Xenopus tropicalis: one gene and its partners. The protein of the gene in region 7 binds, or shares a complex with, the protein of the main gene of each other region. Links are inferred from orthologs where the notes say so. Each region holds a gene or a part of one and is shown on either strand. Other genes may lie near its edges.

Evidence for each region.
Region 1: meaf6 (region 7) and epc1 share a complex: the UniProt entries of both Homo sapiens proteins name them as parts of the nuA4 histone acetyltransferase complex. The link is inferred for Xenopus tropicalis from reciprocal best matches to the Homo sapiens genes MEAF6 and EPC1.
Region 2: meaf6 (region 7) and kat5 share a complex: the UniProt entries of both Homo sapiens proteins name them as parts of the nuA4 histone acetyltransferase complex. The link is inferred for Xenopus tropicalis from reciprocal best matches to the Homo sapiens genes MEAF6 and KAT5.
Region 3: meaf6 (region 7) and brpf3 share a complex: the UniProt entries of both Homo sapiens proteins name them as parts of the MOZ/MORF complex. The link is inferred for Xenopus tropicalis from reciprocal best matches to the Homo sapiens genes MEAF6 and BRPF3.
Region 4: meaf6 (region 7) and morf4l1 share a complex: the UniProt entries of both Homo sapiens proteins name them as parts of the nuA4 histone acetyltransferase complex. The link is inferred for Xenopus tropicalis from reciprocal best matches to the Homo sapiens genes MEAF6 and MORF4L1.
Region 5: meaf6 (region 7) and jade2 share a complex: the UniProt entries of both Homo sapiens proteins name them as parts of the HBO1 complex. The link is inferred for Xenopus tropicalis from reciprocal best matches to the Homo sapiens genes MEAF6 and JADE2.
Region 6: meaf6 (region 7) and kat6a share a complex: the UniProt entries of both Homo sapiens proteins name them as parts of the MOZ/MORF complex. The link is inferred for Xenopus tropicalis from reciprocal best matches to the Homo sapiens genes MEAF6 and KAT6A.

Annotation. Positions count from the first base shown.
Region 1 is NC_030682.2:22,921,577-22,925,612, reverse strand, and holds the start of epc1 (enhancer of polycomb homolog 1), read right to left. Parts: upstream 2,801-4,036; 5' UTR 2,523-2,800; coding exon 2,370-2,522; intron 2,243-2,369; exon of another isoform or gene 1,318-2,242; intron 1-1,317. UniProt on the Homo sapiens protein: Component of the NuA4 histone acetyltransferase (HAT) complex, a multiprotein complex involved in transcriptional activation of select genes principally by acetylation of nucleosomal histones H4 and H2A.
Region 2 is NC_030680.2:37,908,651-37,912,754, reverse strand, and holds the start of kat5 (histone acetyltransferase KAT5), read right to left. Parts: upstream 2,801-4,104; 5' UTR 2,793-2,800; coding exon 2,784-2,792; intron 2,206-2,783; coding exon 2,139-2,205; intron 1,594-2,138; coding exon 1,525-1,593; intron 384-1,524; coding exon 247-383; intron 1-246. UniProt on the Homo sapiens protein: Catalytic subunit of the NuA4 histone acetyltransferase complex, a multiprotein complex involved in transcriptional activation of select genes principally by acetylation of nucleosomal histones H2A and H4.
Region 3 is NC_030678.2:65,009,533-65,013,032, reverse strand, and holds part of brpf3 (bromodomain and PHD finger-containing protein 3), read right to left. Parts: coding exon 3,365-3,500; intron 1-3,364. UniProt on the Homo sapiens protein: Scaffold subunit of various histone acetyltransferase (HAT) complexes, such as the MOZ/MORF and HBO1 complexes, which have a histone H3 acetyltransferase activity.
Region 4 is NC_030679.2:118,095,689-118,099,877, forward strand, and holds the start of morf4l1 (mortality factor 4-like protein 1), read right to left. Parts: upstream 2,801-4,189; 5' UTR 2,737-2,800; coding exon of another isoform or gene 2,697-2,736; intron 1-2,696. UniProt on the Homo sapiens protein: Component of the NuA4 histone acetyltransferase (HAT) complex which is involved in transcriptional activation of select genes principally by acetylation of nucleosomal histones H4 and H2A.
Region 5 is NC_030679.2:26,303,134-26,306,633, forward strand, and holds part of jade2 (protein Jade-2), read right to left. Parts: coding exon 3,456-3,500; intron 915-3,455; coding exon 52-914; 3' UTR 1-51. UniProt on the Homo sapiens protein: Scaffold subunit of some HBO1 complexes, which have a histone H4 acetyltransferase activity. Acts as an E3 ubiquitin-protein ligase mediating the ubiquitination and subsequent proteasomal degradation of target protein histone demethylase KDM1A.
Region 6 is NC_030679.2:130,478,552-130,482,051, forward strand, and holds part of kat6a (histone acetyltransferase KAT6A), read right to left. Parts: intron 3,398-3,500; coding exon 3,236-3,397; intron 1,553-3,235; coding exon 1,459-1,552; intron 1,132-1,458; coding exon 900-1,131; intron 762-899; coding exon 542-761; intron 1-541. UniProt on the Homo sapiens protein: Histone acetyltransferase that acetylates lysine residues in histone H3 and histone H4 (in vitro). Component of the MOZ/MORF complex which has a histone H3 acetyltransferase activity. May act as a transcriptional coactivator for RUNX1 and RUNX2.
Region 7 is NC_030678.2:86,136,397-86,140,586, forward strand, and holds the start of meaf6 (chromatin modification-related protein MEAF6), read right to left. Parts: upstream 2,801-4,190; 5' UTR 2,790-2,800; coding exon 2,700-2,789; intron 1-2,699.

The DNA of each region.
Region 1 (4,036 bases), on a different chromosome or scaffold from region 7:
ATATAAGGACAGGTCACATGGCTGTGGCTCCCTGAGAAATGAATATGCCTAGCCCCATCTGAAATTTCAAAACTTAATATAAAAAATCTGTTTGAACTTTAATAAAACAAATTCCAATGCAGGATTCTGCTGGAGAAGCTCTATTGACTGATGTGTTTTGGAAAATAAAAAAATACATTTTCCCATGACAACATTCCTTTAATCACTTATAGCATCATTAAGTTCTTTCAAAAATGCATCAGCCCATCTCTAATCCAACACTAAGTAAAATTTGGATTTAATTTATCTGTCATGGTCTGAAACTGATAATGTGACCTTAAATTAATCACCTACACAACAATGTGCCATCCTGATAAGGTTTACTTCCATGGGGCAGTTCTGAGAAAAGGGCCTTTGTGCCATTAGCCTGAGCTTTGCTGTTCTACACTTTAGGGCTCTGGCACACGGGGAGATTAGTCGCCCGCGATACATGTCATGACAAATCGCGACACAGGGAGATTTGTCGCGGGCGACTAATCTCCCCGTGTGCCAGAGCCCTTAGGGCGAAGACATGTGGATCGATTAAATGCGGTGACTTTTTAAAAAGGCGGTGGCGGCACCATAGGATACTATACAGGACGCTGCAACTAATCATGCGCCGATTTGCACTGCATGGATTAGTTGCCACACGTCTTCGTTCTTACAGCAAAGTAGAACCTGACGAAGAGGCCCACCCCCAAAAGGTTGCTTCATGTGCTGCAGTGTTCCTTGCATGGCCATTTAGTAGGGGTTCCCTATACTTTTTTTAGCACCAGGTTACTTATTTTTGAGAGGCCAGGCGTGTGTAGTTTTTGATTCTGGTATGTTTTGGGTCAGGCCGATACTGAATACTCTGTACAAACAGCAGGTTTGTATTAACTGATGAGTAGTGCCCCAGTGCTTATGGCCCCACTCACGCCAGACAGGTGCAGCAATGACAGGCTGTACGGCCCCAGCTCACACACAGATACAGTCATGTGAATATGTTATGGAAGCTGGGGTGCAGAAGCCCCAAGAATGCAGATGATAACATACACTGACAGACTGCTGGCACGTGCAACCCAACTTGGGGTACTACCATTGCTTACCAATCAGATATACTCCATGCAGTCAGAAACATCAACTGTCTCCTACAGAAGTCCAACAAAGGTCAGAAGGAAAAAGCCAATTCTACTCTCACTTAAAAGCAAAATGTCAACATACTACACTTACATATATTATCTACAGCGAGGCCAATCCCCAGCCCTCACAGCAGCTTCACACTGGGTCCCAAACAAAACATTTCTTTAAAATGCAAAACTGATGATTAACCCAGGGCTGCATTATGGAGAAAATCTGTCAAAATGCAACTACATTACATGGCGCTTTACAGGCATCATTTCTGCCTCACATCAGTCCCTGCACCAGCAGAGCTTACAATCTAAGGTTCCTACAACATTTATATACACTAGTGCCACATTTTATTAGGAGTCAGCTAAGCTGCCTGTATGTGTTGGAGAGACCATTCCAGCCAATGGTTAATCCTAAATAGACAGCAATGCACTGGCCAAACCCTGTGTTACACCCCATTAAATATATACATCTAACAGTATAGCTTTAATCAGAGAACCTTTAGTAGATCATATTACTGACTATATTCCCCACAGCACAAGCTCAAGTCAGCAAAGTGGTTTATTTGTGCATTATGGAGGGATTGTACCCCCCTGGGAGGCATCAGAATGAACTACTACAATGAATAAAACGTGTGCCATGAACTAAGTTTACGCTTAAAAAGCTGATTTATTATATACACACACACACACACACATATATATGACATGGCCGATACATAAGAGATAGTTTCAAGCAATGGCGTGTTTCTATACAACTCCACAAAGACAGCAGAGAAACTACTACAGCATGCCGGCTCTCAGCTGTCAATCAGCTCCCAACGTACACAAACAATCCCACAAGGTGAGCAACTCCTGATCGCCAGCTCCCCCCAGCGACCGCACTTGGAGCTGCAACCCCGCTCAACAACCAGGCCCAACCCCAAAAGACAGGGAGAGAAACACACACAACAAAATGGCGGACCGCGGCCCCATCACGTGACCCCTTTGTGCCTTCCCGGCCGCTAAATTCTTCCCAGGTATCACCGGCGGACACACCGGGGACATATATCCCCACAGGGAGATCCGCTTTAGCCTCACGAGCCACCCCCGAGGATGGAATGACAGGGGGAGAGGTATGTGCGCCATCCCCGTTCCCGTCAGGGAGGAAAATGGCGGCCATTTTGTGTAAGCTTGCGCAGAGCTGGGACCGGGCGGAGAGGGGTAAAAGCGGTAAAGAGAAAGTGAAAAACGGTGCATTACCGACTCCTCTTCCTTCTCCATGCCCGTCGGCATCTGCGGCACGGCCCGGTTGATGGAGGCATACTCGTGCAAGTCCGGTAAATCCTCGCAGCGGAAGACGGGTAACGGTTTGGACGCGTCCAGCGCCCGCGCCCGGAACGATAATTTACTCATGGTGTGTCTAGCAGCGAGCCATGCGACCGACGAGCGGGGAAAATCTCCCGTGCCGCGCTCTCATGGAGCTCTCTCCGCGCCCCCCCTCGCTGCCTCCCCGCCAGCCTTGTTGTTCCGATAATAATGATTAATATTAGACAGGGCGCTTATCCTGGCACTCCCGGTGCCCGTGGCTCAGTTTGGGGGGTGGTTTGGTGGGAGTCTGTGTGCTCCTGTGGGCCAGTCTCTCCCTCCCTCTTCAATACGCCATGGCCAACATGGCGGACATTAAAACTCCGCTGTCTGCTCCCCCAGCCAACCCGAGCTGCGCAGCCATTCCCAGAGTGCATCGCGCGTTTGCGCGCTCTCCGGGCCCGCAGAGAAAAGCGGGGGCGCGCACAGCCGCTTCTCGTGCCCGCGCCTCTGTGACAGGACCCCGGTGCTTGAAGGGTCCCTCCACCTGGCGCCCTGCTGGGATGTGTAACAACACCAACAGCTTCACAAGGGAAATAAACCACTAATATGTGAATAAAAAGAAAATGTCTTTCTAAGCAACTTTATAATAAACAGACATTAAAGTTATTGGCAAACGTTATTGCAATTAATAGCACTGCCTGTCCCTGTTGTAAATCATGAAACAGTGTAGCACAAGTGAACTCTTCTGTCCAGTCAGGACTGCTATCAGCTACATTGTTTGATTTCAGCCTTCCATGCATATGGGCTTATGACTTCAATTGGCTCTCATCAGTGTCAGACTGGGAACCCTAAACCCAGTGTTGGACTGAGATACCAGGGGCCCACCAGAAAACCTTAGACCCCAGGCCCGCTTTCCAAACTATTTTTTTCTCTTTTCCTCACCCAGCCTCTTTATTCTCCTAGTCCCTTTTATTAACATGCTAGCATATATTCTTCCATTTATTTCTCCTCTTTCTTCCCATACTGAAATAGGGAATGAACATGAAACAGGCCAAATGATCAGGAGGGCCCACGGGGAGTTTTCCTGGTATCCTGGTGGGCCAGTCTGACACTGGGTCTTCATACATGGAGGGTTGTCCACTTCAAGCCCCCGTAACAACAAATACAGTCAAACCACAATTTTACATTCTCCAGGGTGCCAAAAATTGGGGTGCTACTGTATCTGCTTTTGTAGCAGTTTCGCCAAAATTTTCACCATAGCCCATAGAAATACAGGTGGCAGCCACATGCCCACCAAAGTCTTGTTGGTTTGTACCAAGAGGAGAACCAGCTTTGGGCTTTTACACACAGGTGATTCGCCCTGCATTTTCGGTGTAATGCGCTGCAGGAAAACACTGTGAAATGCCCGTGTGTAGGAGCCCAGCAGCTATCCAGACCCATTATTCTGACAGCTATGGAGTTATAAAGGAAGTATTCATCTTCCTATGTTGAAGACATTCTTTATCCAGAAGTTATTTCTTATTTAATCTAACCAAGTATTTCATCCTTGGTCATTTTTTAACCTTTGCTTTTTTGGCAGAGTCTGTAGATAGCATTGTTTGCAAATATACATATATGCC
Region 2 (4,104 bases), on a different chromosome or scaffold from region 7:
ACTGGATGACTTGGAGAAGAGGGAGGAACATGCAGGTATCTTTGTTTTAAAGAGGGCACAGGAAGAAACTGATATCTCCCAAAGCCCAAAGGAGCAGAGTGGCATTAGTTCTGCTAAAGCAATACTACCTGCTACTTTCTGTTGCACTTATTTTAGTAGTAAGGTGCAGGGATAACTGTTATGGTCAACATCATCCCTGCAAGACAGATTGACATGACCAGTTTCTTTGAGTGCCCAAGCACTTACCACCTCTCTCTCAGGGGAGCTTGGTCTTGATCCAGGTAGTCCATTCTTTGTTGGAGTTTTTGCCTCTTTCTTTGGAAATTGAATCTTCTTAAGATCCAAACGATCATGAGTAACCCACTCATCTAATCGCTTGTTAACTGGGGGGATTAATAGAGTAAAAAAGTAAAAAAAAGAGACTGAAATAATTTTACAAGAGAAAAAAATGCTAGCAATAAGAATTAGAAGAGGTTAAAAAATTTTAACTTCTGTGTTTACGTGACAAAAAGTCACATGAATTTTAGGATTCAGATTTGGTTCCACCAGGACTGTGGATTCGCCAAATCTGAATCTTGCCGAAAAAGGCTGAATCCCGAACCAAATCCTGGATTCGGTGCATCCCTACATTATAATATGCAAGCTAATTGATAACAGAATATATGGCATTTTCTAAAAAAAGACATGGACTAGCTATAGCAGAGTAAATGCTACAGACTGACAAAGTGGGCCTGATTTGGCTGGCCAATCAAGAAGCCTGAAAGAAAGTCTACAGAAGGGCTCTGACGACATAGGTGTCTGTGAATCCAACATACAGGAATCTGTGTGCCTGTACATACACAGTTGCCTGTGCAGAGGTCTGAAATATTGCTGCAATAGGTATGTCACTGGTATGGAGGGAGTGTCTTTTATACACTCTTTTGTCACAACTGTCACACCTGTATTGAATAAAAATTTGTTTCTGCATGTGTAAATTGCAAGAGGGCAACTGGCAGCTGATCTAAGCCTGCTGGTGAGCAGCACAATCTTGAATGCAAAAGAGTCAGAAGTGCTGTGTATATGAGGATATAAAGGATATAAACAATAAGCTGCTTTGCTGTTATATGTACAAATGCAGCTTCATCAGCCCCTAGCCCAGCCCGGCTCAATTCCTTTACTTCCCCTTTGCACATGTTTGCTGTTGAGCCTCATGACATGCCACAGCAAATCAGCTTTCACTATGCTCTGTCACTCACACAGAGATTCTGGAGGGTGGCGAATGGGAGGCTGCTTCAATAATTAGCCATAACTTTGTAACAGTGCAACATTTCTAAATGCTATACATTGTCAAAATGTTTGTCTAGATTTTATATTTTCAATATTCTAAAAACATTTTTCATGATTGCTCCCCTTTAAGCAGCTCAAGCCTAGTTTCAGTACATATCATTATTTAAGCCATGTATCCTGCATATTACTATATGTAATATGCAGGATATATGTAATACTAAGTGAAACATTAAACTCCATATTTAAATATAAACTTACAGTCTATATAATGCACATAGAATAGTTTCTTCCCTGTAAGTTCCTTGATGCTCAGAATTTCAGCAAGTGCTAGAGAGGATTAAACAGAGACAAAAGAAGTGGTTACAAAAACGGTATATTTTATTATGAATTACATTTTATTTCTTTGCTTCTTCACAAACCATCTGAATGAAAATTCACCATATAAATAAAAAACACACAGAATTCTACACTCTTGTAAACATAAACAAGTACAGGTATGGGATCCATTTTCCGGAAACCAGTTATCCAGAAAGCTCCGAATTACGGAAAGCCCATCTCCCATAGATTCTGTTTTAATCAAATAATGTAGAATTTTAAAATTGATTTCCTATTTCTCTGTAATAATAAAACAGTACCTTATATTTGATCTGTACTAAGATATAATTAATCCTTATTGGCGGCAAAACAGTCCTATTGGGTTTAATGAATGTTTTTGTGATTTTTTTCTTACGGTATGAAGAACCAAATTATGGAAAAACCCCTTATCCGAAATACCCTTGGTCCCGAGCATTCTGGATAATGGGTCCTATACCTGTACAAGCTATATTTCTGCAATATTTATTACAGTGCGTTTCAAGCTATGTAGTACTTACGCCATTCAACTTCATTATCTTGATTCTTGCGAAGTACAGGCAATCGGCAACCCTCCACAATCTCTGCCTGAAAATCAGTCACGGATAAATGAGAAACGGGCAACTTAACAGTGTATTATTTTAATGGCTGTATAATGTAGTGGCAAATACTTGTTCCTGACAGTTTATGTCCCCTTTAAATAATAAAGTACAACATAAAAGGTGTCAATGTGTGAGATACAATAACTAACAGCACATCTAAAAGGAGTAATAATGAGGAAATAAATCCTAGACAGATCAGCTGAAAAACAAATATAGAAAACCAAATGTAATATGGCTCAAGATGCAGTAATTTGTCTGAGGAAATCCTGACATAACATGGTCATTAATGGGGAATATAAATGGGGAACCTTACAAGCAATTGGAATTTGCATTCACAGCAGCTGATATACGGCCATGCAAGAAGCGACAGCCAATGTTTGGTCAATATGATTAAATGTTTCTATGGCCTCATAATACAGAGAGGTTCTCTTGACATAAAAGAAATGGATAACGCAAAATTCCAGCCCCTTTTCGTATCCTACGCTTTGCATGTAACTATATTCTGTGGAAATATCACCTACAATTGCGCATACATAGCGATAAGAGCTAAACAATAAATCTTACCTCCGCCATGATTTTGCTTTAAAGCGACTTCCTTCTTTCCAGCCTCGCAGCCGCCTCCCCCTTCCTTGACAACCGTATCGAAGGGCAAAGAAGTCGCGCCGGAATAAGCATAGCATTTTTACGAGCCTCTAAAACTCACCTTTGTCCTTGATTTGGAACAGGTTATGAAATTTTAAAGAAATATATTTTTTGTAATAACTGGAGCATACTGGACAAATATAAATATAGTATTAATTACCAGGCATTCGCCTGGGCAGCAATAGCAAAAAGGCGGTAATTGTTTCCCCTTTTTCGATTTGACACGCACCATGCGTTCCAGTGATAGCGATCCGCCCAAAACACTTCCGTAAACGGAGTTACGCATGTGTGTAATAGTAAAAACAGTGTAGTATACAGAGGTTGGTTGCGAATGTGTGTGAAACATTTATTCCCATCAAAGGGGACTCTAAAGGGATGTGGGTCCCAGTAAATTCTGGTTATGCCAATGCCTTTGTTTCTTTTCCTTGATGTGTGTTGTATAAGCAATGGCTAGTGAGAAATGACCTATGCTGTATGTAATGGAAATAAATTACGTTATTGATCATCTGGAACCACAATAGCTAAGGCAGAAGATTAACTTCTGTAACTTTAACACAAATATATAAAATTAATTTCTGATAAGCAGTGAAGTAACAGGTAAGATCAAATGGGCATTGTTCTAATATGCTCTGCTTTACTGTCACCTCAGCTCATGGACTGACAATATACTCTATTTATTGTTGTATATATAAACGTAAGTGAAAGCTGCTTAGTAGCAACAGGCAAAGACACAAGGACCCGGAGGTATAACAACAATAACCCAGTGGTTGCTTGGGAATCAAGAAATGTACAGGCCAGGCAAGGGTTCTGGATAATGCATAATTTCTATCTGTGAGAAACTGACATCTTCCTCAAAGTTTTAATGCCTAAAAAAACATTTTCTTGTGGGACCCAGTGTATAATGAATATAATGAATTTGAAACAACAACATATTAAAGAAATGCTCAGCTTTTTCAGAGCAGATCTATAATCGGACTTTAGAAACATGCTAAAAAGGGCTCAAAACAGAATTAAGTGTTTTTTCTTTTCTAGTATAACTGTTATTGCATTTAATTGCAAGGCTTTGTAAAGGTAACATTTTAAAGCAGAAGCACTGATGAGGTTAAAAGTCCTGCTGCATGCATAGGGTTGATCACCTAATTCCTATCCACTCCTAAACATAAAAAAAGACTATATAAAGAATGTTGTTATGCAACAGAAATTTTCTAACCTGTCCAACTAAACGACCAATTGCCATGGTATG
Region 3 (3,500 bases), about 21 Mb from region 7:
ATTAGCTTAGTTGCTTTTCTTTGGACATTCTCTATTTCATTAGCATACCACATGAGCAGTAGAGACCCAAACTGCAATGAATAACCTTCTTCCCCACAATGATTTCGCTTAAGCATTTAAACACCATATGCTGTGTCTGCAGACAACTTGTTTAAGCTGAGTGGGTTATTAAAGTACCCATAAATAAGGCTTGTCCAAACTTTGCAGCATTTTCTCCTGGCAGGAGATAAGCCTCTTCCTTTTTGCTTACGCGTGGGGTCGGTCTAAAGTACTGATGTGCAGGCTGACTAGATACCAGTGGAATCCACAGGTGCCAAGCTTGGTTATACGGTCAACTTGCAAGTAAACCTAATTGATTTACCTACACCATGCTGCGTAAAGACCTGCATACCTATCTGACCAATGACAATGCAGAAATCCATAGAATTAGACAACTAAGCAGTGCAAATTTTACAAACCAGAGTTTATTGTAAGTTTATTTTAACCCTTTCACATGGTGGTAGAAAAAGGCTCTACATGCAAGCATGTAGAGCATACATGCTCTGCAGAAAGTCAGGAGGCTGGGGGGCTGTAATGTCAGTCTTGGGGTGCAATTGCAACCTTCAAGCAGCATATGCGATCGCATCTGCAGCTTCTGCCTGCCCCCCCCATTCACTTCCTGCTGTGTAGCACTCTGCTAAGACAACCCTCCAGGACCCCCCATGTAATCCCTGCATCCATCCAGCTAAGGTACAGGAACAGGTAAGTGGTATTTATTTGCACTAATATACACACTTACATACATTTACACACACATTAGCAGGTTTTTGGGGTTTGTTTGGTTTTTTTTTTGCTTTTTTCATTTTGCAACCTTTTGCACTCTTATAGACACAACTTTTAGATATGTATACACAAACACTTTTTTTTTTTTTTACTTTTTACCACTGTCTTTTTTTCCCCCCCCAAAAACGTGACTATTGGATCAGGTATTTTAACCACTAATAACGCTGTTGTGTTACTTATTTTGTTTTATTTACTCCGGCTCCACGACTCCGACTCCTGTTTTTAATATGCTAATAGCCCATTTCTGGAGTTTTGTGTGACATTATGTCCAATTTGCTTTTTTTCCTCCCTTTTTTGTTCTGTTCCAATACACACAAAGGGAATAAACATGTTTATAGCAAAAAATTTCTGGGATGCCAACAATTTTGGCCATGACTGTATTCTCTTCCATCAGCAAAAAGTGCAAGCAATTGATTTAAATCATTGTTCCTACAGACAAAATTCAGGAACAAAAAACTCCTGTGCACATAGCAACAGGCAGCTGCAATTGTTATTTGAAGTTCCTAAACCTGAAAGTTTTGCCAGTCAGTCCTTTCTCAACCTGCCCATTACAGCTTCTAATGCTAACGGACTAATGCTGCACAAATATGGTAGCCCAAAAATAGAAGACCATGGGGAATCAGAGAGGTAATGTAAAAGCAATGGGCAAATACATTTAAGGCAAAATTATAAATAACATGGAAATGCACTGTTAAGATAGACATAAAACAGGTTTAATTTTGTGTGTCAGTATTTCTTTAAGTCACTTTACAGCAATCAAGGCTTTTTCTGGGCAGTAGTGTTGTTTTCTCCAAAATGCCTTAGCCTAAATGTGTTTTTACTTCAGTATGAACAAGCAGCAAATTAGTGCTTGATGAATGAAATAACTGAATGAATGTTTTTCGGTTTTTAACTTTTATACCAAACACCACCACACATGCTAAAGGGAAACTATACTACATACACATTACAGGTCTCTGTAAAAACAAATGATATTTTAAACACCTTTTGTTACAAATTAAAACTTTTCATGAATATATATTTATACAATATGCGCCATTAGACTATCTAATTAAAATACTAAAAAAAAAAATCCCAGAACATACCCCTGCAAGGTTCACTTCCCTCAGGCAACACAGAGCAGGCAGAGTATGGCACACACAGGCAGGATATGGCACACACAGGCAGGATATGGCACACACAGGCAGGATATGGCACACACAGGCAGCATAGGACAGGCAGAATTATGGCACACACAGGGAGTGTAGTGCACACAGGCTAGGACAGGCAGAATATGGCACACACAAATAGGGTAAGCCAGGCAGAGCATGGCACACACAGGTAGGAAAGGGCAGGGAAAGAGACAGGGAAACCTATCAAGTAACTGATCATGTACCTATGTAAGTAACTGATTATGACTACTCTAAGAACAGTTTGCACTGCAGTACATACAGTGACACTGCTCCTGAAATCTGTCATGGTGTGAACATGTGAACAGTGTGGGGGCCTACAGTATTATTAGTCCAAGGTTTTACAGGTGTGAACAATGCAGGGTCTTACCAGGTGTAGCAATACAGGGTTTTACAGCCTGAATCGGAGTTGTGAATAATGCAGGGGCCAGTTAGTCTCAGTACTGATAGTATTTAAAGCTCACACAAAAATAAGCAGTCACAGCAGCTAGACAGATGGGGCATGGACAGACAGATGCCATTTCCCAAGTGAAAAAAAAAATAATAATTTCAGGGACTGCTCGATTTGCCTTTCTGGAATTAGGAAGTTATTATTTTCCCCTCAGAGGCAAATTGGTGATGGCTTAAAGAATAAGTAAACCTTTTTTTTTTTTCTATCAGTAAAATTACGCTAAACAGCCTCCAGAATTACCTACCTTTGTCCCAGCATTCTCTCTGACCTGGTTCCTCAGAAGTTGATCGTTTTTCTTTGCTTCCTTGTGCAGAGTGAAGCCCCACCCCCACTTCCTGTTCAGTTCTTTCTTCAATTTGACTACCTGTAGTCGACCTAGAGAGCCTTCTGGGCATGCCTGGAGGCAGCAGGAGCCAATCTGTGCATTAGCAGGGTTTTTTTTTTTGATGAGAGACCTAAACAGGAAGTGGGGGCGGGCTTCACTCTGCACAAGGAAGCAAAGAAAAACGATCAACTTCTAACTGAGGAACCAGGTCAGAGAGAATGCTGGGACAAAGGTAGGTAATTCTGGAGGCTGTTTAGAGTAATTTTACTGATAGGAAAAAAAAAGGTTTACTTATTCTTTAAGCCATCACCAATTTGCCTCTGAGGGGAAAATAATAACTTCCTAATTCCAGAAAGGCAAATCGAGCAGTCCCTGAAATTATTATTTATGCTTTTCCCTTTCCTGTGGATCAGCTAGCAGTTAGATGAGTTTTAAATAGGCTGACCTTATGGACATATGTTTTTCTTGCTTAAATTACTGTTACATATTCTTTTAATATTCAATATTAATTACACAACAATAATTTGCTGACCCTTAATTCTGCACTACTCTTTACAAAGGTTAAGAAATGTTAAGGAAGATTAAAACTGTGCTCACCGACATGAAGGAATCTGCATAACAGTCATCACTGGCGCAGAAACTCTTCCACACACAGTCTCCTTCTGCTCTCTTTTTATCTTCTGTTTCTCCCGTCCTCTCTTCCCAGCTCCCTTCTTAGAAAATTTACTGTCCT
Region 4 (4,189 bases), on a different chromosome or scaffold from region 7:
CCAGATTGGGCAAAGATATACACTGACGGGTCCTGGGGTGTGGTTCTTTACCACCTTAGATTAGACAAATACTAAATTCCCCATTCACATACGGTCATACTGCACAATCTGGAACCTGCCCAAACACAAGCCATTTAGGATGCCCATGAGTAGGCAAGCTTTAGAGCATATGCAAGACTAAAAGTTTAAGCAGCACTGGTATAGCCAATATACAAACTTGCTACACAGAGATCCGTATGTTAGTAAGTCTAAGCACAGGATCTTTTAATTTACTCACAGTAAAATTCTTCCGGTGACAACTGGGAAAACAGCAATTGCAACAGAAGGTAAAGTGGATACTAGAATATACAGAATATATACAGAAGCTGCCATGAATCCTTTCTGCCTTCCTCTGGCTAAAAGTACAAAGAGCAACTTCTTTCCCCCTATGGCTTTTCCAAATCTTGCACAAGCAGCCACTGTCTCACTGGCAGGGTAAGCACAAGCCTCCTATAACAAATGGTATCAATCATATTTACACACACACTAAGTAGTAAAAATGGTGTGTGGTGTTACAGTTCAACAACTGTGGCTGGTAAACCATGGCCACAAGGTTAGTGGTAAATCAGGGGGCATATTTATTACAGTGTGTAAGCCAACATCACTAGTGATGGTGCCCATAGCAACCAATCAGTATTTAGAATTTGACAGTTACTTACAAGTTAGAAAACAAAAGATCACCAGAGATGTTGGCTTACACACTAAAAAAAAAAAAAAATATGCTGAGGTGTGTTGACAGCAAAGTCCTCTGGTGCAGAACAGCAGTAGTTAAAACACCAGTGTCACCACTGGTATTTAATAGCAAGGGCCCCTGTTCACACACAAAGAGGACCTCTGAGCGTGTGAACCTCCATGCAAAAAGTGACAGACCATTAGGAGTTGTGACAGATGGAGAGGAGCATTTTGACTTAACTGCATAAGCCTTTCCTCTAAAAAAGCATATCATAGTAAGGGCAACTCCATTAGGTTTCTGATATGTTAAAAAGGCAGCTATACATACACCAACAGTGTCAATTAATTTAAGCTGTTGATTGGCAGCAGAAAGAGCTCATTCTCTAGATGAGACATTCTCTATACCAGTGGTTGTCTGGCTTTATTAGTTCTAGACTCCACCACCCATGGCCACCAAACCTAACCTCATAACATGACTAAAGATATCTGAAAGAGACTGTTCCACATACTACTAGGTCAGGAAATAAGTTTTTATCCCAAATCTCACAAAGACTGGACTTCAGGCTAGACTGTCAAGTGTAACTAGAAGAGCAAATTGACAACTCCAAATTTCACTAATAGGGATATGATTCAGTGACAGTACAGTCCCAATGTTTCTTCATTAATGTCTTTGGCCAACAGTGCTGAGATCCACAGATGCAGAGAGATCCAACTACAGCAGCAACAGAAAATGAAGAAAGGGCTAAAGAGGACAAAGATGCTGTAAGGCAGGACTATGGTGGACTATTCTGGAATGACAGAACAAGAAATCAGATTCCTCACATTTTGATGCAGTACTAGAACACATGCTGGTGAGAGATTTAGAAGCAAGCCTGCTCTTCACTCTACCAAGATAGGACCTTTGTGACAGCAAAGTGATATAGGAATGGTGTAAAGTTAGTGGACCTAACCTTGCCCATTAAGGGCTCTGCCACACAGGGAGATTAGTCGCCCGCGACAAAACTCCCTGTTCGCGGGCGACTAATCTCCCCGAGTTGCCTTCCCCTGCCATCCCACCGGTGACTTACATGTTTGCCGGTGGGATGGCGGGTCATGGCAACTCGGGGAGATTAGTCGCCCGAGACAAGGGAGATTTGTCGCGGGCGACTAATCTCCCCGTGTGCCAGAGCCCTAAGAGTAAGGAAGGTGCCAAAGCAACAAGACTTTTGTTTGGGTGCAGGTTTGTAGAGAGAGCAGCTGGAAGGCCACATTTTCCATCCCTGCACTAAACACAGATCAGGTCAATATAAACCAACACCCCCATTACAACTGGTCAAGCTAAACACTGTATTTCTGCATGTGTCAGGCACAAGAAGCCGTAGGCAAGCCTATCCCCGTCCAGCTGCTCCCTATACAAGCAAGGCATTCTTATGAAGTCATGGTCCCGTCACTCCCACAATGGCGAAGAGGTAACCAAGCGTCTGAGCTACTGTCGCGCTATAAAAACGGGGTAACCAACCTGCGACTGCCCATCTGAGCTACTGCCGCACTGAGGCACGGCGCACAACAAAGATTTCCCGCTTGCTGCGCCTGCAGACAATGCCACGCCCCCTCCCCCATAAGGAAAATGCGAGATTTTACACGGAACACACTCTGCTGCGACTTCCCCACTCGAACTACATTTCCCAGCTTCCCCCATACAGCTAACCACGGCGGTCCTCAGGCTAGAGAACTGAACGATGTATGTCACCCCTTTAACGCAGTAAAGGCGAGGGGCGGATTTGTTTGACTGCAACTCTCAGACATTCGTAAGAGCTTGTATTGCCAGTTGCAGCCGAACAAATCCAAGAGCCGCAGATGCGATATCTTTCAGCCCATTAACTGCGCGCATTATTGGGGCACAGCGCTCTGCCGTCTGGTCTACCGCTCGGCGTTCACTTAGAGCAAAGGGGTGAGTGAAGACTACGGTGTAATGGTGGAAGCCACGTACAATGGCTTATGCTTACCCTCTTGGAACTTAGGCCTTGGGTCCTGCTTCGGCGCCATTTATAAACTCCGCGGCTCCCGGGAACGGATCCGCCGCATCTACTCACCGCGCGGACCCGCACGTCACCGCACGCCGCCTGCGCATGCGCGCAGGGATATGCCCAATGTGGCGAGCATGCGCAATAGCCACTAGCCCTCCCGGGGCACTATGGGAAATGTAGTTCGGCTTTAGTGGCGCAACCTCCCCCACCCTCACAAACAAAACAAGCATCTTCGCATTTCTGCTACAGTGGAAATAAGATGGAATGTTAATAAATAACATTTACTGTTCAAGACTAAATGCTAGGTAGGTACCTCAGGTATCTATTTCTATATCGATTTTAATGTTACTCGAGGCTGAATGCTTAGTTTACATATTCCAGAAAGTATTTTTTCATACAACGGCGCAAAATCTCACGCATTAACGTTTACTTAGTGTCTGGAAATACATAAGGCAAAATTTACCGAATGAAAACGTTACGCCCAACGTGGGGCTCGAACCCACGACCCTGAGATTAAGAGTCTCATGCTCTACCGACTGAGCTAGCCGGGCGCTGTTAATTCCGTTAATTTGCGCTCTAGTTACTAATAAGTATAAAGCAAAGTGAAATTTTCTCTGTTCTATCTATGGATTCTGGTCTTTTTTCCTCATAAAGTGTCAATTTACACTAATAACTCTTGCACACTCCTGCAGGGCAGGTATAAGCACAGAGGTCACCCACAGAGGCCAGCAAACAGTGGCATAACTAAAAGCTAATGGGTCTGACATTAAATTTATTTTAGCCCCCCCCCCTTAAAATTTACAAATAAGACAATTTTTATAAATCTATATTGCAGCTGTTTATTAGTCAATATCTTACAGGACCTCCTATTCCTCCTGGCAGTCCGGGACTGCAGCAGTGGCGTAACTATAGAGGAAAACCAGAACATATAGGGGCACAATTACTAATCCACGAACGTCCGAAAAGGGTCCGAATGCGTTTTTTCCGTAATGATCGGTATTTTGCGATTTTTTTAGTAAATTGTCGCAACTTTTTTGTAGCCGACGAAAGTTTCGGATTCATTCAAGCTTCAGTATCGTGACTTTCCTTGGGCCAGGTTGGAGCTGCAGAGTGTCATTGAGCCCTATGGGAGACTTTCCTTGGGCCGGGTTGGAGCTGCAGAGTGCCATTGAGCCCTATGGGAGACTTTCCTTGGGCTGGGTTGGAGCCGCAGAGTGCCATTGAGCCCTATGGGAGACTTTCCTTGGGCCAGGTTGGAACTGCAGAGTGCCATTGAGCCCTACGGGAGACTTTCCTTGGGCCAGGTTGGAGCTGCAGAGTGCCATTGAGCCCTACGGGAGACTTTCCTTGGGCCAGGTTGGAGCTGCAGAGTGCCATTGAGCCCTACGGGAGACATTCCTTGGGCCAGGTTGGAGCTGCAGAGTGCCATTGAGCCCTATGGGAGACTTTCCTTGGGCCGGGTTGGAGCAGCA
Region 5 (3,500 bases), on a different chromosome or scaffold from region 7:
TAGAAGCAGGCAGAATTTATAAATGACAGTCCTATGAAATTCTCTGGAAAGTTATGATGCCAAAATGCTCATTCTAACAATGTCATCGTTTGAGGACTCAAACTGGTTTAGCTGCACTCTTCCTTCCCTGGATTCCTCTTCTGAGTCGGTCATTTCTGCATCTGAATAGTAGCCATCAGTCTCATCCAAATGGCAGTTAAGCTTGGGCATTTTAGTGACATTAGGTCTATTTGCAGCTTCAGAGGCCTCCATTTTTGATTCCAATCTCGTTTCTATCCCCTTTGGTAATTTAAACCTCACCACTGATTTCGGACAACCCAGTGAGGCAGGCACTTTGACTAGAGAATCAGACTTGGGTTGAGCACATTTAATTGTCTTCTCTCCATTGGTTAAAGGACATGTGTCGGAGCCATTGGCTTTTGGAGCAGGGGAATGGGTCGGTCCCTTTTTAGAAGCCTTTCTGTCGCTAGGTCCTTTGCGGTCCACTTGCACCTTGGCAATTCCTTTACCGTTTCTGCTGGATTTTGAATTCTGGTTACTTGGCTTCTCAGTCTGATCTGGCGAACACTTTATGTTGTTCCACTCCATTAAATCATCTTTATGACACTTAAAAATGTTACTTGGGCTGCTTCTTGGCATTTTTTTTTTACCATTCATTCTCGTTTTGGTTTTCAGTTTCCTTAGAGTTTCAGTCTGTTTGAAAGAAGACTTCAGTGAATTATCCATCATGAAACTCAACAGGGTCTCCTCGTCTTGCAGCAGCTCTTCAGAAAGAAGCCCCGAAGTGTTGGTTTCATGGCGACCGTGGTTTAAAGACCACTGACTCATTTTCATATTCTCGGTACTGATCTGAACAGACTGGGCCAACCAGCTGCTGAAAAATGTTCCATCGATAGGGAAGGATGTGGACAAGCCTAAATGAATGAAGAATAAATAGATAAAAACCATCAGCGTTCACCAGTTATTAAAAAGAAAACCAACACAATTTCACAAATGCTAACATAAATGTAAAAATGTAATTTAAAAAAACATATAACTTACAAATATCTAAATAAAAAGCCTTAGTACTGTGTAAGGTGGACTAATGGCAGCACATCAAATACAGAAAGGATAGGTGCAACAGTAAGAAGAGAATTAAGAAGGAAGAGAAGGCAAGAACAAGGTGATCAATGTAAGTTGTATAATATTAACACATTGTCCTACAGCAGGGGTTGCAAATACGTCGACTGCGGTCCACCAGTCGTTCCCCAGTGGATTTCTGGTGGACCGCGATGAAGCCGGGGATGCGGAAGTGCTGCGTGAATGTGTACGTATGCCTGGTCATCGGTCGATCGCAAAGCCATCCCTGTCCTACAGGCACACTCAACCTCAATCCATACTGAGGAGAGGATTTAGCACCCACCTGTAATCTAACTCAAAAAAAACGGACCGGAACAGGGATTTACTCATCTGCGGGGTGATCCCCTGTGCTTATTGTGGCTACAGATTGCACACAACATTTAGGGAGCGTGGTTCTTTGTATGTGAGAGAATGACCCTATGGATGAACAGGTCCGTGTGCCAGTCTATTTCTTTAAGTTGTATAATATTAGCTTTCCAGTCCTTCACATGCTATTACTTATCTATCAATCAATTATACCTCTCTAAAAATAAAGGCAACACGCAACAAACACTGTTCAGTGTAATCTTCACAGGCAACATTTTTATATAGGGTTGGAAAATGGGCAGAGTATAAGCGGGACTGGCTTTATAAGGGGTAACCTGTCAGTAGAGACGGTCAGGAAAGAAGGTATTACAAATTTATCAGCAATTACACTGCTGGGCTTGTCAAATACTGGCCTTGTGGTAACCCTATTTTTATCACATGAAATTGACATGTATGACAATTATATGAAATGCCTGAATATACACTTTGTATATATTGGTAAAAGAGTAAAAGATGAAAAAAAGACTTCATCATTGGAAGTTTTGTGCTTTTGGTCTTTCTGTTAATGCAACAAAAGGACGCACAGCTGCTGACAGGATTAAATATGGGTGATTATGTTGGCTTTGATTAAATACATTTGGCTAGGAGATCTGGCATGCTGTAATAATTATCCAGGTAATGAATGTAAAAGCATGGTGTAGCACCTCAGTGTTATCCAAAGATCTGAAACTGTGTTGCCAATTACAAGGGAAATCATAACCAAGGGGGAAGCACTAAAGAGATACAATGGTAACATGATAAGCACGGAACAGGTATGGGATCTATTATCCAGAATGCGGGGGACCTAGGGTTTTCTAGGTAAGGAATCAATCCATTGGATCACTGTACCTTAAGCCTAATAAAAATGATTTAAACATAACAAGAATAAACAAAATAACAAAAATAAACTCAATAGGATTGTTTTGCCTCCAATATAAATTCATCCAGTGTAGTTACCATCAAGTACAACTACTGTTTTATTATTACAGCTGTGGGATCAGTTATCCGGAAATCTGTTATCCAGAAAGTTCCAAATTATTGGAAGGCCATCTCCCAGAGAGTCAATTTTATGTAAATAATTCTAATTTTTAAAACCGATTTCCTTTTTCTCTGTAATAATAAAACAGTACCTGTACTTGATCCCAACTAAGATATAATTACCCCTTATTGGGGCAGAACAGCCCTATTGGGTTTATTTAATGGTTAAATGATTCCCTTTTCTCTGTAATAATAAAACAGTACCTGTACTTGATCCCAACTAAGATATAATTACCCCTTATTGGGGGCAGAACAGCCCTATTGGGTTTATTTAATGGTTAAATGATTCCCTTTTCTCTGTAATAATAAAACAGTACCTGTACTTGATCCCAACTAAGATATAATTACCCCTTATTGGGGCAGAACAGCCCTATTGGGTTTATTTAATGGTTAAATGATTCCCTTTTCTCTGTAATAATAAAACAGTACCTGTACTTGATCCCAACTAAGATATAATTACCCCTTATTGGGGGCAGAACAGCCCTATTGGGTTTATTTAATGGTTAAATGATTCCCTTTTCTCTGTAATAATAAAACAGTACCTGTACTTGATCCCAACTAAGATATAATTACCCCTTATTGGGGGCAGAACAGCCCTATTGGGTTTATTTAATGGTTAAATGATTCCCTTTTCTCTGTAATAATAAAACAGTACCTTGTACTTGATCCCAATGAATCCTTACTGGATGCAAAACAATCCTTTTGTGTATATGTACTATTTAAATTAATTTTAAGTAGACTTAAGATATAGAGATCCAAATTACATAAGGATCCCCCTTATCCAGAAAACCCCAGGTCCCAGTTCCAAAACCTGAATAGAGGAAAAAAGTAAATCATTTTTAAAAATTAGAATTATTTGCTCAAAATGGACTCTATGGGAGGTGGCTTTCTTGTAATATGGAACTTTCTGGATAACAGATTTCCAGATAACGGATCCCACAGTTTGGGCTTACCAAGTTCTTCCAAAACAGAATCATTCCCAGTTTTCACCGACTCTT
Region 6 (3,500 bases), on a different chromosome or scaffold from region 7:
GATTTGTACACATAAAACTTTACTTCCCTCCCCATTAACATTAAACTGTAAGGTAAGTATGTTTATTTAAAATAAGTATGAGCTAGACCAGTGATCCCCAACCAGTGGCTCATGAATAGCATGTTGCTTCCCAACCCCTTGGATGTTGCTCCCCGTGGCCTCAAAGCATCTACTTATTTTTGAACTTCTGGTAAGTTTTGGTTGCATAAAAACCAAATATAATGTCAAAAAGAGCCTTCTGTAGGCTGCTAGTCCACACAGGGGCTAATAAGTAGGCAATTATAGCTCATTGGCACCCCCAGGTACATTTTTAATGCTTGTGTTGCTCCCAAACACTTTTTCCATTTAAATGTGGCTCACATGTATAAAGTTTGGGGATCCCCGAGCTAGACTATGGCTACCAAGGGAAGGCCCAGCTCAGAGCCTAAATCAGTGATTTCGTTCATATCACATCATTCAATGTATAGCAGGTAAGTGACTGAACAAGACTAAGAACAGAAGAGCAGGCTAGCAGTATGGTTACACAGTCTGCCATACTCACACTGTTGTCTTTCAGAGGACTTCTTTGTTCTTCATCCTCCTCCTCCTCCTCATCCTCTTCTTCTTCAGATTCCGCTTCCTCTTCATCCGAGACCACAGAGTTGGTGACAATAACAGGTGTCCATCTCAAAGCTTCTGGATCCACCTCTACTTCCCGCGGCCGGGCCTGCAAACGACTCATGTGTGTCTGAATTTGTTGTTCCCGACGAACCAACACAACGCTGTACGAAGAAGAGGACAAACAGATAAGCATATAACGCATTGGTAAGGGGTGGGGGATTACATTCCCCAGTGAATTTAAAGAAAAAGAAGCAACAAGGAAGCCCCAAATAAGTATAACAGCAGCAGCAGGAGCTCACCGGTCTCCACGAAGTTCCAGCATACGTAGTTGGTGCAACGTGGCCGCAATGTCCTGGGGGCAGATACCAGTCAGCTTGGTGAGCCTTTTGATGCTTAGCTGGTGCTCTCGGTTGTGATGTAAACACTCAAGTACCACACTTTTCCAGTACGCCATGTAAGAGAGCCGACCCAGATCGGAAAGTGGCTTTTCTGGGGATCCTGCTTGCCCCTCTCGTTTAGAAAGTAGGTAACCTAGGAGGAAATAGCAAAGGTGTTGTGCATTACTATACATTGGATCATACATCAGTAAGAAGCCGATGCCTTCAGTAATGCAGGGAGCTTGGGCTCTCCCCCAGCGGGGCACAGTGCCTTGGATAGGGATCCAGCCTAAAAGCCAGGTAATATTTGGAGAGAATGTCTGCACTTCTAGACACTCTATGAAACCAGTCCTGGATGTCAATGAAGGGGACATATGGAGAGTAACGTTTGCATAAAGCGCTTCTAAAGCAGTGGAATACATCTAAGCAAACAGCTCCCATATAGTGTTAACAAGTATGTCCCCTCCCCCCCCTTACTTACTGAAGTCTATAAGGAAGCGGCCGTATCCTTTTCTCTGGTACTGTGGAAGAATCATGATGCAGGACACGTTGTACTTCTGCTGGCAGTGCTTCTCCTGGGGATGGAAGGGAAACACAAAGATGCATCAGAGCGTGGATCAGGCCCAGTATTATACAAGAATCACATACATGGCTTCTATGGACCGGATAAACGGGTTAGTGGGGAAGGCTTTATTTTATAGGAGGAGGGGGGTAGGAGGGTTTCTCATAGTAGGGTGCTGAAGCAGAAGCTGCTCATTCTTAAAGGCAATATTCACCTTTATATATGTATCACAATAGACTCTGCAACTGATCTGCATATTGTGCTGTGGGTTTCAAGTTTTTCCATTTTTTTTCATCAGCAACCAAGATTTTAAACAAGGTAGTTGCCCTAGCAACCTTAAACAGGAAGAGCACTCTGTGGCCCTCTAAGAAATGGACCTAATTCTTGCACGTTTAAGCAAGTCTGGCCACCAGAGGGCGCAGTCTGAGGATTTTATGCCAATCACAGTTGTACAATTTCTCTTTAACCTTGCATTTGCCTATTGGCCAGCCCTTGCTTGCATTACGACTTACCATGAGCACAATAATCTGCATTTGTAATTAAGTGTATATCCATGGAGTTTGTAATGGACTTGTATGGATCTGTAATGGACCACTGCTTGCATGCAACACAGCTGCGTATGGGGTGCAGAATGTAGGCATTGCAACAAAATTCCCTATTAGTCCACAAAATGTCACTTTTGGGTGGGAGATGAGAGACATTTTTACGCTGGGATTTCAGACGGGTGATTACAGGCCGGTGTCATCAGCACTGGCACGAACCCTCTGAAGCTTGCAGCTCACTGCTGATTATAAGGATGAAAGATGAGCTTCATGCTGCTATAGCCACAAAGAGAGAACTCCTGGGAACCAGCCTTATTTAGAATTCTGAAGCCTGACTAAAGAGCCCTAAAGCCTTTCATATTCTCTAGGACACAGCTTTCTGCATTCACCAAGTCATTAGAACCCCGTGGAAGCCTCTGATGTAGAGCTTCTGGCATGTCATTCTATAGACTTGGAATCTGCCGTACAATTAGAGCAGGGTCATCTCCGACTGCTGGCACTGACACGCCACCCTGCATTCCTTAGCAGCGCAGAAACCTGGCACGTGGAACCTTTGCTACTAAATGCTAGGGTCACCAAACAACCAGAATCGAAGGAGCCTATTGAAGCAGCCATCTCCCGGGCATTGCTGATTATCTAGATGAGAGAGATAAGAGTGCTGGGAAGGCTGATTTTCTTATCTAGAGCTTTTGCAACAATGCCATTTTCCATGGATTTTAACAGGGTGTTATCTCTGTTGCTATATGTTATGGGCCATTGGGAATTTGAAAGCTGAAAATGGTTAGAAGGTGGCAAATAATTTAACTAAAAAATAAAGAACAGTTGAAAAGTTGATAAGAACTGTCCATTTTATAACATAATAAAAGTTAATCTGAAGGTGAACCACCCCTTTAAACATATATGAATACAATCAACTATTAACATAAAAAAAAAAAAAAAAAAAATTTGAAAAATTAAAGTGAGGGGGTCCCTTTAAGAACACTGCCACAGCACTATCGTATCAGGGCTCCTCATTATTCATCCATTTGCTTGCCATCTGGCTTTGAAGGTAGCTGGAACTACGCGTAACCTACTTTGGGAAGAAGCTGAATCAGGGGACGTTCTTCCTTAGTGAGAAAAACACAGGTGCACAGCAAACAGCCCCTTTCCCTCACCTTGGAGAAATATCCAACAAGATGGCAGCCTTTCGAGTCATTCTGGGTCAGCACATAGAAGAGAAAGGGCTCCACGTCATAATAGAGGGTCTTGTGGTCGAGGAAGAGCTTGGCCAGAAGGCAGAGGTTTTGGCAGTAGATGGTGCTCACCTTTCCATCCACCTAAAGAAATGTTAATAGGAACATATAATCCAATACTGAGCAGTTTCACCTCTTTCTCCCCCCCCCCCCCCCCGCACCTTATTTCTGCCCATTTGTGGCTTTG
Region 7 (4,190 bases):
ACTGTGCAAGTCCAGGGGAAGGCGCCTGAAAACCATAAAACTGATGAATAATCCAAGGAACATCTGCTTACAGAGCTGCTGTTTCGTTTGCTACTTGTCAAACTGTGTTGGGTAGTAAACCATAAACCGAGTAATCACAGACATCATAAAAGCTAAAGTCAACTGCTTTTTGTCCTGCTTTGGTCCCTAGTTCTGGCACACTTTTGAGGGTTAATAGTCTCATTGCAGAGCAATTATGGTTATTCCAGCATTGTCTATTTTAGTAGCCACAACAAGTAGCTGCTACTAGTAGCTCCATGTGTCTTCACCCTTAGGGCTCAGACAGATGGGGAGATTAGTCGCCTGCGACAAATCTCCCTTGTTATGGGCAACTATGCTCCCTGAAATGCCATCCCACCGGTGAGATAGCATATGTGGCGCAGTGATTTGCCAAAGTCGAGGAAGTCAAGGCAACTTCCGCGACTTCGGCAAATCGCCGCGTATGCCATCCCACCGGCAATTTACATTCTCACCAGTGGGATGGCAGTTTGGGGAGTTTAGTCGCCCGATGACTAAACTCCCTGTCTGTCACAGACCTTAAAGGAGAACAAAACCTATTGAAACAAAACTCGCCATTCTCCTGTTCTGCCAAATCAAAACATACTTATTATTCCTCCATTGCCACTGCTGTCAAGTTATTTCCCTCAAGAGAAGAGCTTGCAGCCATCATCTTACATTCATGTGCATCACATTCCCCTTCTATATTGTCTTTATCTCACACCACATAGCATAATGTGCATGCGCAGGGCTAGGGGACACTTAATGGCGCAAGCATTACTATCATATTGAAATTTTCTGAAAGAGAAGGAACTTTAATCTCTACAATGTTTTCATTACTTTTTAAGTGGATCGGCCATTGAAAAACCAGGGGAGGTTGCTCAAAGGCAGGCTGCTGGTAAGCACATGTATGCATAATGATCAGTACTAGCTATATTTATTTTTTTACTTTTGTTAAATACAACGGATTGTCTAATGTTTATGTATAACATGTAAGCGCAAAAAAAAGTTTGCCTTTCAAAAAATAAATCAACTGCTGTTTTAATATTAGGTCACATGCCAATCAAGAAGCTTTGACACCCAAAGTAATCTGCAAACCCCTACCAGGTCATACACAGATGAATATATTGGGTGCCTCACAGATGAGATATTTTAGTGCCATGAATGCAGTCATAGACATTTTATTAAAGAGCTTGGAACTGTTGCTGATAGTTTCTTTGAATATGACAATAAAACACTTACACAACCAATAAACATTTTCTGAAACCGTGCCCTCAATTCAATTCCTGTCAGAGTTGCCCCATCCAAGCTAGGGCTGAACTGATATGAAAGTAGTGGTGTTCCATGTTTAAGTTATATAGTTAGGGTGGACCAGAAGCATAAACAGGCAAGTCTGTGGGGGCCCCATAAGCACCGATGGCAACCCATGTATTCAACAATAAAACCATCTAAGAAATCCCTTTTTCCTCATTGTTGCAACTTATGGGCAGTGACACATGGGGAGATCAGTCGCCGTGGCACCACAATTTGCCGAAGTCGCCATGAGATGAAACTTCGGCAAATCGCACTGCCGCATATGCCATCCCGCCGGTGATTTACATTCTAGCCGGTGGGATGGCATTGCGGGGAGATTAGTCGCCGTCTGTCACTGCCATAAGGATGAAGACACACTGAGCTACTAGTAGCAGCTACTTTTTCAAGGCTACCAAACTCCAGAAAATACCTAGCCATAGACAATACTGAGAACTGCCTCTGCTAAAACACATATAGTGACAATTATCAGCAAATGATTAGCATTGTCTTTTTCAGTAGTCATTCAAGTAGCTGCTCCGTGTGTCTTCACCCCAATGGTTATAAACGTATACCTTTAACAGTGGGATTTTGCATCAGTGCGGTAATTCGTAGCAACCATGCAGCTAATCTTTTGATCTGTCTATTTAAGATAGAAACTAGGAAATCCCGATAGGTCGCTATGGCCCCTTTTTGTAAATAAAAACTCGTGACGTCACAACTAAGACTGAACCAAAAGCTAGGCCCAGACTTGGACGCTATTCTACGAGCTTCATAAACCTGACATAGGTAAAGGAAGCAAATGGGTTTCGTGAAATGTAACAGCAAAACCAGCATACACTATTTAAACCTATTAAAACACGGCTTTCAGTTTGGTTTCAAGCTACATCACTAAGGACGTCTGCAATATTTATTTTTCCCGCCAGCAATGCCACCAAATAGCGGCTGCGCAGGATTAAACAAAATACGTTCCACCATGGCAACACATTAACTGAAATAATACGGTTAAAAATCACACCATTTCGAGAAAAAGATTATTGTAAAACACGCCGATAACGCAAAGAAAGTAAAGAAAACCTGCTAAGTAACCAACGTAAATTAACTCATTTCCGTAACGGTGATGGTTACGCTAAAGGCGCAGCACCAAAAACGACTGTGGAATTACGTACAAAGCGTAACCATACAGCTATTCACAAATACAGATTACGAAATATACGTTACGGACACAAAGGCTTGTGCATAGGGGCTGCGCTATTTTCCTACGGTGTTTGGTTTAAAACTGGGAGGCCTACATTAAACCGAAAATATATTATGTTTTTTTAGAAAATACTAGGTACAAAGAATACGCTAGTGGATGAGGTTTTTTAACTTACTGCTAATTCTTGTTTCCTCTTTACTAGTTCGGCCAGTTCTCGGCGCGTATCCGGGATCTGGGGCGGCGTGGCCTTGTTATGCATCGCCATGATGGAGGAGGAGAGGACAGGGAGGGTCTCGGAGAGGAAGGAATAAATAAGGCCTGGCCTACTTCTTACAGTGCGTGCTACCTGAAATGTAGTTATGGGGGGAGTGTGGATGTAAACCGATAGAATAACCATTCCAGTGTATATCATTAAGCAGATTTTCTCGGAAATTCGATTTGTTTTAATCTTTACAATTTAAATATCGACATAGACTAGGGCTGCTACTTCTTCCCCGTTGTCGTGATTTAACCCCAAAAATGGATTTTCTACAAATTTTTCTTTTATATTGTCTGCGCTTAGTAGGGTGGGCCAGCGGTTCTGAATGATTTGCAAGCTTAATATTACATAAATATAAATAAATGCTGTACTGGTGCAATGTTAAATTCGGTGGTACTTTTTCACGTGGGTGCGTTTTGTATATGCAAAAATTGTTCCGATTTTGTGGAATAGTGGTGACATAAAAGTAGGGTGCAAATGGATCTGGGGGTTAAAAAAAAATAGGATAGATTTATATTTGTGTAGATTGGGGGTGTAACTTGCTGCGGGTCTGGGGCGTGGCCTAAATTATCCTTTTTTTTTTTTTCATTGTTGCTTAGTACAGGTATAGGACCCGTTATCCAGAATGCTCAGGACCAATGGTATTCCGGATAAGGGGTCTTTATGTAATTTGGATCTCCATACCTTAAGGGGCAGATTTGTTAAAATGTGAGTTTAGAGCTTAATACACAAAAACTCACACATGTTCTATTCATTCCTATGGGATTTGAAGAAGCGTATTTACCAATGGGTAAATTCACTGATTGATAAATACACTTCTAAAAATCCCATAGGAATGAATAGAACATGGGTGAATTTTTGTGGATTAAGCTCTAAACTCACATTTTGCTAAATCTGCCCCTAAGTCTACTAAAAAATCAATAAAACATTAATTAAACCCAATAGCATTGTTTTACATCCAAAAAGGATTATTTATATCTTAGTTGGGATCAATTATAAGGTACTGTTTTATTACTACAGAGAAAAAGGAAATCAGTTTTAAAATTCTAAATTATTTGATTAAAATGGAGTCTATGGGAGATGGGCTTTCCGTAATTCGGAGCTTTATGGATAACAGGTTTCCGGATAAGGGATCCTATACCTGTATAGGTAAATTTGGGTATGCATGTTTTAATTAAGTAATATATTTTTTTCTAATATATAATGCTGACATATTTGTACAAAAATGTGTATTGTTCACATCAGTATCCGTCCAGTTTACAGTTAAAGATCTCTCGCGAGTCTTTTTCGGCGATTTCCCGAAATCGCCCCGCCGCATCTGCCATCCCACCGGCGACTTACATTGTCGCCGATGGGATGGCAGGGGAAGGCAACTCGGGGAGATTAGTCGCCCGCGAACAGGGAGTT